3 linked regions of the Callithrix jacchus genome follow. The protein of the gene in region 2 purifies or fractionates together with the protein of the main gene of each other region. This does not show direct contact. Links are inferred from orthologs where the notes say so. Each region holds a gene or a part of one and is shown on either strand. Other genes may lie near its edges.

Region 1 (3,566 bases), on a different chromosome or scaffold from region 2:
GGGATCTCTGTGCTTCCCTGGTCCTCTTTCTTCCTGGCTCTGTGGGGGTCTCTGCGCTTCCCTGGTCCTCTTTCTTCCTGGCTCTGTGGGGATCTCTGCGCTTCCCTGGTCCTCTTTCTTCCTGGCTCTGTGGGGATCTCTGCGCTTCCCTGGTCCTCTTTCTTCCTGGCTCTGTGGGGATCTCTGCGCTTCCCTGGTCCTCTTTCTTCCTGGCTCTGTGGGGATCTCTGCGCTTCTCTGGTCCTCTTTCTTCCTGGCTCTGTGGGGATCTCTGTGCTTCTCTGGTCCTCTTTCTTCCTGGCTCTGTGGGGGTCTCTGCGCTTTGCTGGTCCTCTTTCTTCCTGGCTCTGTGGGGGTCTCTGCGCTTCTCTGGTCCTCTTTCTTCCTGGCTCTGTGGGGGTCTCTGTGCTTCCCTGGTCCTCTTTCTTCCTGGCTCTGTGGGGATCTCTGTGCTTCTCTGGTCCACTTCCTGGCTCTGTGGGGATCTCTATGCTTCTCTGGTCCTCTTCCTGGCTCTGTGGGGATCTCTGCGCTTCTGTGGTCCTCTTTCTTCCTGGCTCTGTGGGGGTCTCTGCGCTTCTCTGGTCCTCTTTCTTCCTGGTTCTGTGGAGATCTCTGCACTTCTCTGGTCCTCTTTCTTCCTGGCTCTGTGGGGATCTCTGTGCTTCTCTGGTTCTCTTCCTGGCTCTGTGGGGATCTCTGCGCTTCTGTGGTCCTCTTTCTTCCTGGCTCTGTGGGGGTCTCTGCGCTTCTCTGGTCCTCTTTCTTCCTGGTTCTGTGGGGATCTCTGCACTTCTCTGGTCCTCTTTCTTCCTGGCTCTGTGGGGATCTCTGTGCTTCCGTGGTCCTCTTTCTTCCTGGCTCTGTGGGGGTCTCTGCGCTTCGCTGGTCCTCTTTCTTCCTGGCTCTGTGGGGATCTCTGTGCTTCTCTGGTCCTCTTTCTTCCTGGCTCTGTGGGGATCTCTGCGCTTCTCTGGTCCTCTTTCTTCCTGGCTCTGTGGGGATCTCTGTGCTTCTCTGGTCCTCTTTCTTCCTGGCTCTGTGGGGATCTCTGTGCTTCTCTGGTCCTCTTTCTTCCTGGCTCTGTGGGGATCTCTGTGCTTCTCTGGTCCTCCTTCTGGCTCTGTGGGGATCTCTGTGCTTCCCTGGTCCTCTTTCTTCCTGGCTCTGTGGGGATCTCTGTGCTTCTCTGGTCCTCTTTCTTCCTGGCTCTGTGGGGATCTCTGTGCTTCTCTGGTCCTCTTTCTTCCTGGCTCTGTGGGGATCTCTGTGCTTCCCTGGTCCTCTTTCTTCCTGGTTCTGTGGGGGTCTCTGCGCTTCCCTGGTCCTCTTTCTTCCTGGCTCTGTGGGGATCTCTGCGCTTCTCTGGTCCTCTTTCTTCCTGGCTCTGTGGGGATCTCTGCGCTTCTCTGGTCCTCTTTCTTCCTGGCTCTGTGGGGATCTCTATGCTTCTCTGGTCCTCTTCCTGGCTCTGTGGGGATCGCTGTGCTTCTCTGGTCCTCTTTCTTCCTGGCTCTGTGGGGGTCTCTGTGCTTCCCTGGTCCTCTTTCTTCCTGGCTCTGTGGGGGTCTCTGTGCTTCCCTGGTCCTCTTTCTTCCTGGCTCTGTGGGGGTCTCTGTGCTTCCCTGGTCCTCTTTCTTCCTGGCTCTGTGGGGGTCTCTGTGCTTCCCTGGTCCTCTTTCTTCCTGGCTCTGTGGGGGTCTCTGTGCTTCTCTGGTCCTCTTTCTTCCTGGCTCTGTTTCTTCCCTTTGAGTGTGTCTCCCTCTTCCCTCTTGTTTATCTCCCCTCCACTCACTCCTTTCTTTCCCATCTGTTTCTCCGTCTTAATTTGCCATGATACTGATGTGAAATATAGTTGACAGTATTTGTTCAGTTTATTGAACACTCAAATGTTTCCTTATGTTTTCTCAATGAGTGACCAGTTTAAACATTTTCTCTTTTGTTTGTTTTTTTTGTTTTTGTTTTTTGTTTTTTTGAGACAGAGTTTCACTCTTGTCACCCCGGCTGGAGTCCAATGGCGCAGCCTTGGCTCACTGCAACCTCTGCCTCCCGGGTTCAAGTGATTCTCCTGCCTCAGCCTCCCAGGTAACTGGGATTACAGGCATGCAACACCATACCCAGCTAATTTAGCATTTTTAGTAGAGATGGGGTTTCTCCATGTTGGCCAGTCTGGTCTCGAACCTCTGACCTCAGGTGATCTGCCTGCCTCAGCATCCCAAATTGCTGGGATTATAGGTGAGAGCCACTGCGTCTGGGCTGTTTAAACATTTTCTATTCCCAGGAAGAGAATCTGTTGTTTTGCTTAGTTGTGACCCACATCCCTTCCTACCACCAACCACTAAGTAGATCCAGAGATTTGGCAAATGACACAAACCAGGCCACCGAGGCAGGCCGTCCTCTGCCCTCATGCTTCTCTTTCTGTCCGGCAGTTGGTTAAAGGTGACCGATTACATCGCAGAGAAGAATCTACCTGTGTTCCAGCCGGGAGTCAAGGTGGGCTCAAGGCCTGGGCTGGGAATGGGTGTTTAGCAGACTGGATACTTTGTTGTATCTCTGGGAAAAGAGGACAAGCGTCCCTCTGGGATCAGAGAGCAAAGGATGTGTATGGCCATCAGGGCACAGGAGAGAAGCCCAGGCCAAGGGCGTTTGGAACAGAGTGCGGGCAGGCTGCCCTGCTCTGAACTGAGCTTTCTCTACTATCTCTCCTGGCTTCCCAGCTCCGGGACAAGGAGCGTCAGATTATCAAGGAGCGTTTTAAGGTGAGTTGAGGTCCTCTCCTTTCCACTGCTTGCTGCTGTTTTTGAGACAACACAGACCCAAAGTTTTGTCTCTGGGTCCCTTCCTTTTTCACCTTTTTGGTGGCCAGGGCTTCAATGATGGCCTTGAAGAACTATGCAAAATCCAGAAGGCCTGGGCTATTCCGGACATGGAGCAGAGGGACAGGATTCGCCAGGCCCAGAAGACCATTGTTAAGGAGACCTATGGGGCCTTTCTGCAGAAGTGAGCCCCTTCCCAGCCTGTGCTGCCCACGGCCACAGTGGGCTCTTTGAGCTCCTCTTCCTCAAGGGCAAAAGGAAAAGGGTGACAGGTTTAGGCCGCAGATCCAGCACCCTGGGCTTTGGGGCGGGGCTGGACAGGGAATCACTCTGGGTCACACCTTCCGAGACTCTCAGGAGTGCCTTAGGCTGAGGGTGGTGCTGGGGAGGGTCGGCTTCCCTGTCCCCTGACGGCAGTGCCCCCTCAGGTTCGGCAGTGTGCCCTTCACCAAGAACCCGGAGAAGTACATCAAGTACGGTGTGGAGCAGGTGGGCGACATGATCGATCGCCTTTTCGACACCTCTGCCTGAGCCTGCTGCTAGCCCTGCCTGTTTCCACCAGACTGACATGTCATTGGACAGATAAACCAGTGTTAAGTTGCCTCTGGCCCCTTTGGGACAGAGTCCTATCTCCAACACCCCATCCAGGAGCCATGTCCCTGAGCCATCTAGTCCTGGGTTCCACTCTTTCCCCACACCCTATGTTCCCAACCAAACCAGCACTCTCCTGGAAGCCTGGAGTCCCTTCAT
Region 2 (4,004 bases):
GCTGTATAATATATATTGTGGGGAAAAAAAGAAGAAGAAAAAAAAGACCAGCCTGGGCAACATGGGGAAACCCATCTTTACAAAGAACACAAAAATTAGCTGGGTATGGTGGTGCCTGCCTGTTTCCAGCTACATGGGAAGCTGAGGTGGGAGGATTGCTTGGGCCTGGGAGGTCAAGGCTGCAGTGAGTCGAGACCTTGCAGTGAGATCCTGTCTCTAAAAAAAAAAAAAAAAAAACAAAAAGTGTTTTATCAAAGGATAAAACTTATATGCTATAGTGTATAGTGTGACCATAATTTGAAAGGGAATTAGCATAATTCAAAAGGATAGCTAGCATACTATATGTTTCAATCATTCCAGTATTTTTGTTATTTGGGTTTAATTTCTTTTCCTCTTTTGGTTTTGTATTTCTAAGAGGGCACCTTTTATTTTCAAGTTGTGTTTAAAACTATAAAGAGTATGCGAATACAACTTAATATAAATATAAATAATATATAAGCTTTCTCTCTATATATATGTACATATAAACAGACCCAAGCATTAGACCACTGATGTTGTACTTTCAGGATTCACACGAATAAGTCTAGATGCATTCCTCAGATCTTGGAGTTGCTTAGCAGGTTTCCCCACACCTTCTTCAAACCTTTTCTCCACGACAGGGAGGACTGTTTCATATAAAAAGGATGCATTCTGCCTGATAAAAGCTTTCTTCTCCGGATCCTGCTCACATCGAAGACTATAATCCACATGCTGAACAGCAACCAGAATGATTTCCACCAGGCTCTCCAAAAGTACCATGTGCAGCTCTGGGAAATACAGCTTCAGGGCCTCTTCCAAAAAGCCCATGGTCTGTTTGGTGAAAGCAACCACTGTGTAACTTAAGTTCACCCAGCAGTCATCCCCCGTGTACTGCTCAAAGTTACTTACCCCGCAACTTTTCATCTCTTCTTTGAGCTTACCCAGGGCTTCTGGCGTCATCAAGTTCATCTTCCTCCACATCTCTTCAGAGTTGCGATGTTTAGTGGCTTCAATGATGATTTCTTTGTAACTGTGCAAGGCCCCTTGGATGTCTTTCACCAGAAGGGCGTGGATGATGAAGGTGAGGTCTAGTCCGATATCACCCAGTTGCTGGCAATGCTCCTTAGCCACTTTTACACACTCAGCTGCTGTAGAGAGGCTCTCCTTACTATCAAACACCTGCTTGCTAAAAGCATCCACAAACATGCCCATGGCTGATCTTGCCCAGACCACAAACGCAGAATAGCAGCCACTGTCAGTTCCTGCAAAATCAATCTCAAATTCTTTTGCAGTCTCAAGAAGGCTAGTAAAGAAGACATGGCACAGCTTTTGAATATAGAGTAAAGTGGCACCTTCAATGCGAAGCTGACGAATTGCAGTATGAACAGCGACTGCCCTGTTTCTCAAAAATAGCTCACAGGCCTTCGTGCACTGGCCCAGCCGGATCAGTTGAGAAACTGCTCTGCGGGTAGCCTTGGGACCACCTCTCAGCGAACGATCTGGGGAGAGTTCGAAAACTAGCACCTCAGTGAGCTGTCGAACTCTCTCATCCACTTTGGCCCTTAGTTCTTTTACAGGAGGTGGGCTAGGCTTATCTTCCAGGTAATGGTTCAATTTATCCAGGAGGTCGACGGCCCCTTCAAAGTCCCTCTGGGCAATACAGACATCCAGGTCTTCAGGTAACTCCTGGATCCATTCCATGGAGAGGTCCACCTTCTCTTCCTCTACCTCAGGAACAGCTGGTTCTTCTTCTTCATCATCCTCAAATGGGTTAGTGGCCTTGGAAGTCACTTGGGGTGGCCCTCGAGGGGCTGCTGCCTCCTCCTGCTCCCTTCGCCTTTTCTCACTTAGGGCTCTCTTGGTCTCCTCCAGTACTTCCAGCCACTCTCGTTTGATTTTAGCATTTTCGGCCTGGAAAATACGGCTCTCAGGGAACATAAGCAGCTTGAACATGTCCTTCATGGGTGGGTTGTCCTTGACATTGACTACGGCCAAACCATCTAGGGAATAGAGCGCGTTGTAGCGATACATCCCCCGCCGCTGCGGCAGCCAGGTAGCCACCAACAAACAATCGTTCATGAGAAAGCCGTGCACTCGCTGCAGTTGGGCCATGTGGTCCGCATCGTATTCCACTAGGTCCCCGTTGTACACCAGGTACTGTCCCGGCGTCTCCAGCAGGTGCCTGCAGCCTTCCACCTTCTCAAGCAGGGTGGTGAGAGTGCGCTGCTTTCCTTCCTCGCCTGGACCGGAGCCGTCGCGGGAGGCACCCCCGGGGGAGGGGAAAAAGCCAGCCTGGCCTCGGAGGTGGTCTCGGGCCCCCGCCCCACCGACTCCCTCCTCCCCCCCAGAGGCGGCGGCGGTTCCGGCGGCCGCGGCTGCAGGCAGCAATGTAAGCGGGATGCTCTCCAGGCTGCTCTTCTGCTCGGTCAGCAGGTGGCTGAGCTGGTACATCTCGCTCTCCAGGTAGGAGATCTCGCGGGCGGTCTCTATGAACTGCCGGTAGTTCTGGTAGACGTTGCGCTTCAAATTCTGCGCGGTCTCCTCCGCCAGCGCCTGGATGCGCTGCCGGTGCTCCTGGAGATCCCGGTCCCCATCCGACTGCTGCGAGAGCTGCTTCACGTACAGCCGCGCCTCAAAACCACCCGACTCCAGCTGCCGACGCAGGCGGCTCGCCCCACTGTCTGACATCGTCATCGCCATTTCCGTCCGGGTCTCAGGCACTTACTGTCACTATCGGCGCCGCAGCCGCGGCAGCTGTCCAGACCCACCCAAGACCAGCGGAGCTCTAGGGCTGAGGAAGCAGGATGGGAACGAGACGAGTACGCCTGCGCCGGGTTTGAGCGTCAGACACTGCGCCTGCGCAAGGTGCCGAGCGCAGACTGCGGCTGCGTAGGACTGCCGTCGGTTAAAGCGCATGCGCAAGAAGAGCTATTGCGGAAGTGAGGGGAGAGGCCGAGCGAAACTTGGGTACTGCGCATGACCCGAGCGTGACGTTGAGGCTTGAAATAACTGGCAAAGTAAGGCTGGAACTAGCTTCCTGAAAGCTTCCTAGGGCCCGAGCCTTGGGAGCCCAGAGTCTGCGCCTACTAGGAGGTGTCACGCTGACTGCTCTTTTTAAAGACCTAGAATCTTGGCTTCGGCGTTTGGGGTAAGCTCCGTTTTGGTTCACGTTCTCGTTCTCAAGAGGGTTTCCGCGGACTCTCGCGAGATTGGCCGTCCGGAGAGCCGGTGTCTCCTAGGAGCTTAGTCCTGGTCCTCTGCGAGGCGGCGTGGGGTCGCGGCCTGATTCGGGAGTCAGCCTGACGCCGGCGGACCCCGCCTGGGATCTTGGCAGCGATGGATGATGACCTGATGTTGGCACTGCGGCTTCAGGAGGAGTGGAACTTGCAGGTCATGGAGCGCAATCAGGCCCAGGAGCCCCTGTCGCTGGTGGACGCGTCGTGGGAATTGGTGGACCCCACGCCGGACTTGCAGGCCCTGTTTGTTCAGTTTAACGACCAGTTCTTCTGGGGCCAACTGGAGGCGGTCGAGGTGAAGTGGAGCGTGCGAATGACCCTGTGAGTTCCCAGCCCTCTGGGGAAAGAGGCGGGATTAGCAGCTCCTCTGCAGCCCTCGGCCCTGGGGTTCTCTCCTTTCTCTGTCCGACCGTCCCAGAGGGGGGTTATATGAGGGGGTCTGGTTTTGGACCTGGCAGTTCCTGTCTTAGCGTGTTTCTCCCACTCGAACAATAAGAAAGCTATGTAGACCATACCGCCACGGTTGGACTCGGACATAATGAGAAATGAGATTGTTATTTGAATCTCACTAAACTTGAAAATGACAAGTTTCTGATTTGCCTTATGATTGTGCTCTAGGAGCCAGAAAAGAGAAGCAACCAAATCTGCCCCTAAGAAAGTGCTGAGGATGCAGAGTAACCTCCAGAGGATGTGTGCTGTCCTCTTCTATTCTCGTTAGGAACCCACTTTAGTGAACTCGTGTGCTGCAGT
Region 3 (3,566 bases), on a different chromosome or scaffold from region 2:
TCATCATCATCATCATAGTACCTACCTTTTTAGGGTTGTAGTGAGGATGAAATAAGAGAGTATGTATAAAGTATACAAAATAATGTCTGACTCATAGAATAATCAACAGACATTAGCTGCTGTTTTCTTATTGCAAAGGGCATCTATAAAAGTAGCTCAGTGGAAGAAAATGTGACAATTTGAAGGAGCTACTTCTATATCTTTGAAGGACATATATAGCTTCAAGTGAGTGACTGCAAAGACACACATATGCGGATGTTAAAGCAGTAAAACACTGAATAGCAGATAGATAATCAGCTCTAAATAACAACTTCTCTTGGGCTTCTTACATACCGAGTGGGTACGGAGTGCTGCGATGGTTTTTGAAAGTGCCATTTCCCACAGTTCATCAATGTAGGCTCTATTAACTAAGCCCTGCGTTGTATGTAAAATGTGATCTTCAACCACAAAAAAGCTAAGATTGAGGAAAAAAGAAAGCACAGCTGTCAGAATTTACAGTTATATTACTATCTCTGGGGTTTTAAAAGCATTAAGAGATAACAAATGCAAAGTTAGTAGTCATTGTTTTCTTGAAATGACTACTAACTACTAACTAAATGAAGAAAGTTATTTGGTTATCTGAATATCATAAATGAAATCAGACTACTTGGACTAAAAATTATGTCTGTGATTATGATATCTTCTTAACTACTCCTAGAGATATTAAGAGTTACATTTGTATTACATTTCTATTAAATGTTAACAATGATATCCAGTAGTTTAAAAGAGGAAAATGTGTAGAGGTAACAGAGGCAAATTTTGTTATATAAGAAAACACCAAGCCATCAATATATTTCCATAAAAGCTAATATATGTTATATACATCATATATGTTATGTATTATTTATATATATATTTTTTAAGAATCCAATGCACAAAATATCAAAATAATTCCCTCATGCAAACTCTCTCATCAAAGTGTTGAAAAGGCATCATATAAAGGTTTCAAAAATGCAAAGTTATTTTTCAACGATCTTGTTGTTGCTTCTTATTATTATGCATTTAAAATGTACCTTTCATTGTCTTGCCTAAATGTCCATATTAATGAAAAAAACTTCTTTATTAGAAAATTTTTATGATAAATTTTAATAACTACTAATTATATTGAAACAAATCTGAAATAAAACAAACCTGATGATGAATCCAAGTTATTTCCTTTTCTGTTTACTGCAAAGTCATTATTTTGGAATTTGACCAAGCTGCCTATATTGGGGTGTTTATTTGGGAAATGCAATTCCATACCACTATATACACTCTAGATGAGGGTGGCAAACTGTATTAGCCCGTGGGATAAACCTAGCCCACTGCCTGTTTTTATAAAGATTGTTTTATTGGAACATAGCCATGCTCATCATTTATGTATTGTCTATAGCTACTTTTACACTACAACAACAGAGCTAAACAGTTGTGACAGAGACCATACAGCCTACTAAGCCTAAAATATTTTACTATCTGGCCCTTTTGGAAAAAGTTTGCCAACTTTTGATGATTATTTGGTTCCATCTACCAAAAAGAAAGAAACAAAACATAAAGTATAATAAGATTACAATTCAATGTTTTTCTCACTTTATCCACAAAGTGCCCTACAACAATATAATATTGAAACCAGCAGAATGTTCCTTTTAAATCATTAGAAAATCAAAAACAAACCTTAAGAATTTAAAAAAAGAAAACAAATTTTAAAAAAAGAAAAAAAGAATTTCCCAAGGAAAACCTGATTTATTTTTCCAACTCTCACAACTTTCTATGTATTGAAAGTGTATAAATTTAAGTAAATAAATATATATATATATATACCTACCCTACAATTTGATTAAAATACTTCCTGTAGCCGTCTAACGTTTCATGCTGCAACAAAGCAAAGAAGAAAGTTATTGTTTCTGTTCTGTTACTTTAAAAAAAAGTTAAAATCAGTCACTTAATCTCTTAAGGCTCAGTTCCCTAGATGATATCTGATAAGGTAAAAATACTAATGTTATCTGCCAATGAAGCGGAAATGGGACAGCATATATCCAGTACTTAGAACACTGAGTGACACATAGCAATCAATCGATAATGTTTTCATACTACAAGTCGCATCCACCAAAAGTTATCTGAGAATGACAGTATACACACAAACACACAAGCATCAAAAGATACCAAGGAAAAGTAAAAATGTGAGAAAAGTGAAGATAGTAATCCTACCATGTTAGACGGAGGTTGAAGTACCAAACGAGCCTGTTTTCGCCTCTGTTTTCGGTAGTAATTCTCAAATGTTTCCCGGGCACCCTGTAAAATAAAGAAAACGGAAATGGTTTTGACACAATTGAACCAATTACTTTTATATTTCAAGGGAAAAGAGAAGGTCCCAGGTCTGGAATTTGGTAGTACCACATTTCTCAAAATCTCTATTTTAACAGTGATGATAATGATAGAAAATAAAAATAACTATTGCCATTTATTGAACCTTACTTACAAACCTGTAAGGGTGGGTATAAAATATCCTTACAAGGAAACTGCAAGAACTTAACCACCAGTACACCAAAGCTGGTATCTGAATCAACTATCTCAAACTCATAAGAATGAAGGGAAACCAACCTTTCCATAGGATGATAACAGGTAAGAAAACATTCCTTAAAAAACTCACAAAACATTCCAGAAGGAAAATGTCCAGAATAAAAACCAGCTTTCAAACGAATCATGAACAAAGAGGCAATGGGAAGCAGAAGAAAAGCAGGAACTGAGAACAGCATATTAGTATCCACCTTAGGGGATAATCTAGCACAGGATTAAACCCAAAAAAAACAAAAGCATGAAGATTCTTGGTACACAGTTCCTACTTTTCATTTATGGTATCTGGGCTTAAAATGAGAAGTTCTCTACAGAATCACATCTGACTCATGAGCTGTGTACTGGGTTGAAAAGTGGTCTCCCAAAATTCATATCCTTCATGGAACTTCAGAGTATAGTCATGTTTGGAAATAGGGCCACTGTAGATGTAATTAGTTAAATTAAGATGTGATCCTATTAGTGTAAGGGACCTTAATGCAGTATGTCTGGTGTCCTGAAAAGCCAAAATGAAAAGACAGAGATACACAGGGAGAACATCATGTGATGACAGAGGCAGAGAGTGATACAGCTGCAAGCCAGGGAACATCAGAGATTGCTGATCACTAGCAGGAGCTGAAGATTCTACCTAGTCTCAGGGAGAACATGGCCCTTCTGATGCCTTGATTTTGGAATTATAGCCTCCAAAACTGGGACAGAATACATTTCTGTTGTTTTAAGCCACTCAATTTATGGTGCTTTGTTACAGCAGCTCTAGGAAACTAATACAAACTCAATGTATTTAGATTATCATGCCCCATTTATTACTGAATTCTATTCTTAATCCAAAGCTTTTCTAAATAAACAAGAGTAAAAATGGAAAGACAGTATACCACAGTGGTAAAGAGCATTGATTTTGGAACCAGAGGTTATTACATATGAATCGTGATTCTGTCTCTTACTAGCTATACAACTGCTATAAATAGCTGTATAACTTCCTT

Evidence for each region.
Region 1: the proteins of EXOC8 (region 2) and EXOC7 purify together in Homo sapiens (affinity purification with mass spectrometry; 4 studies listed by BioGRID and IntAct, counting the BioPlex papers as one, with this or other methods). This does not show direct contact. The link is inferred for Callithrix jacchus from reciprocal best matches to the Homo sapiens genes EXOC8 and EXOC7.
Region 3: the proteins of EXOC8 (region 2) and EXOC6B purify together in Homo sapiens (affinity purification with mass spectrometry; 3 studies listed by BioGRID and IntAct, counting the BioPlex papers as one, with this or other methods). This does not show direct contact. The link is inferred for Callithrix jacchus from reciprocal best matches to the Homo sapiens genes EXOC8 and EXOC6B.

The regions. Positions count from the first base shown.
Region 1 is NC_133506.1:131,987,855-131,991,420, reverse strand, and holds part of EXOC7 (exocyst complex component 7), read left to right. Parts: intron 1-2,429; coding exon 2,430-2,493; intron 2,494-2,717; coding exon 2,718-2,759; intron 2,760-2,866; coding exon 2,867-3,000; intron 3,001-3,244; coding exon 3,245-3,347; 3' UTR 3,348-3,566. UniProt on the Homo sapiens protein: Component of the exocyst complex involved in the docking of exocytic vesicles with fusion sites on the plasma membrane.
Region 2 is NC_133520.1:53,553,601-53,557,604, reverse strand, and holds the start of EXOC8 (exocyst complex component 8), read right to left. Parts: upstream 2,842-4,004; 5' UTR 2,719-2,841; coding exon 541-2,718; 3' UTR 1-540. Other genes in the region: DNA-dependent metalloprotease SPRTN, read left to right, coding at 3,355-3,575. UniProt on the Homo sapiens protein: Component of the exocyst complex involved in the docking of exocytic vesicles with fusion sites on the plasma membrane.
Region 3 is NC_133515.1:40,663,044-40,666,609, forward strand, and holds part of EXOC6B (exocyst complex component 6B), read right to left. Parts: intron 2,308-3,566; coding exon 2,224-2,307; intron 1,888-2,223; coding exon 1,841-1,887; intron 455-1,840; coding exon 334-454; intron 1-333. UniProt on the Homo sapiens protein: Component of the exocyst complex involved in the docking of exocytic vesicles with fusion sites on the plasma membrane.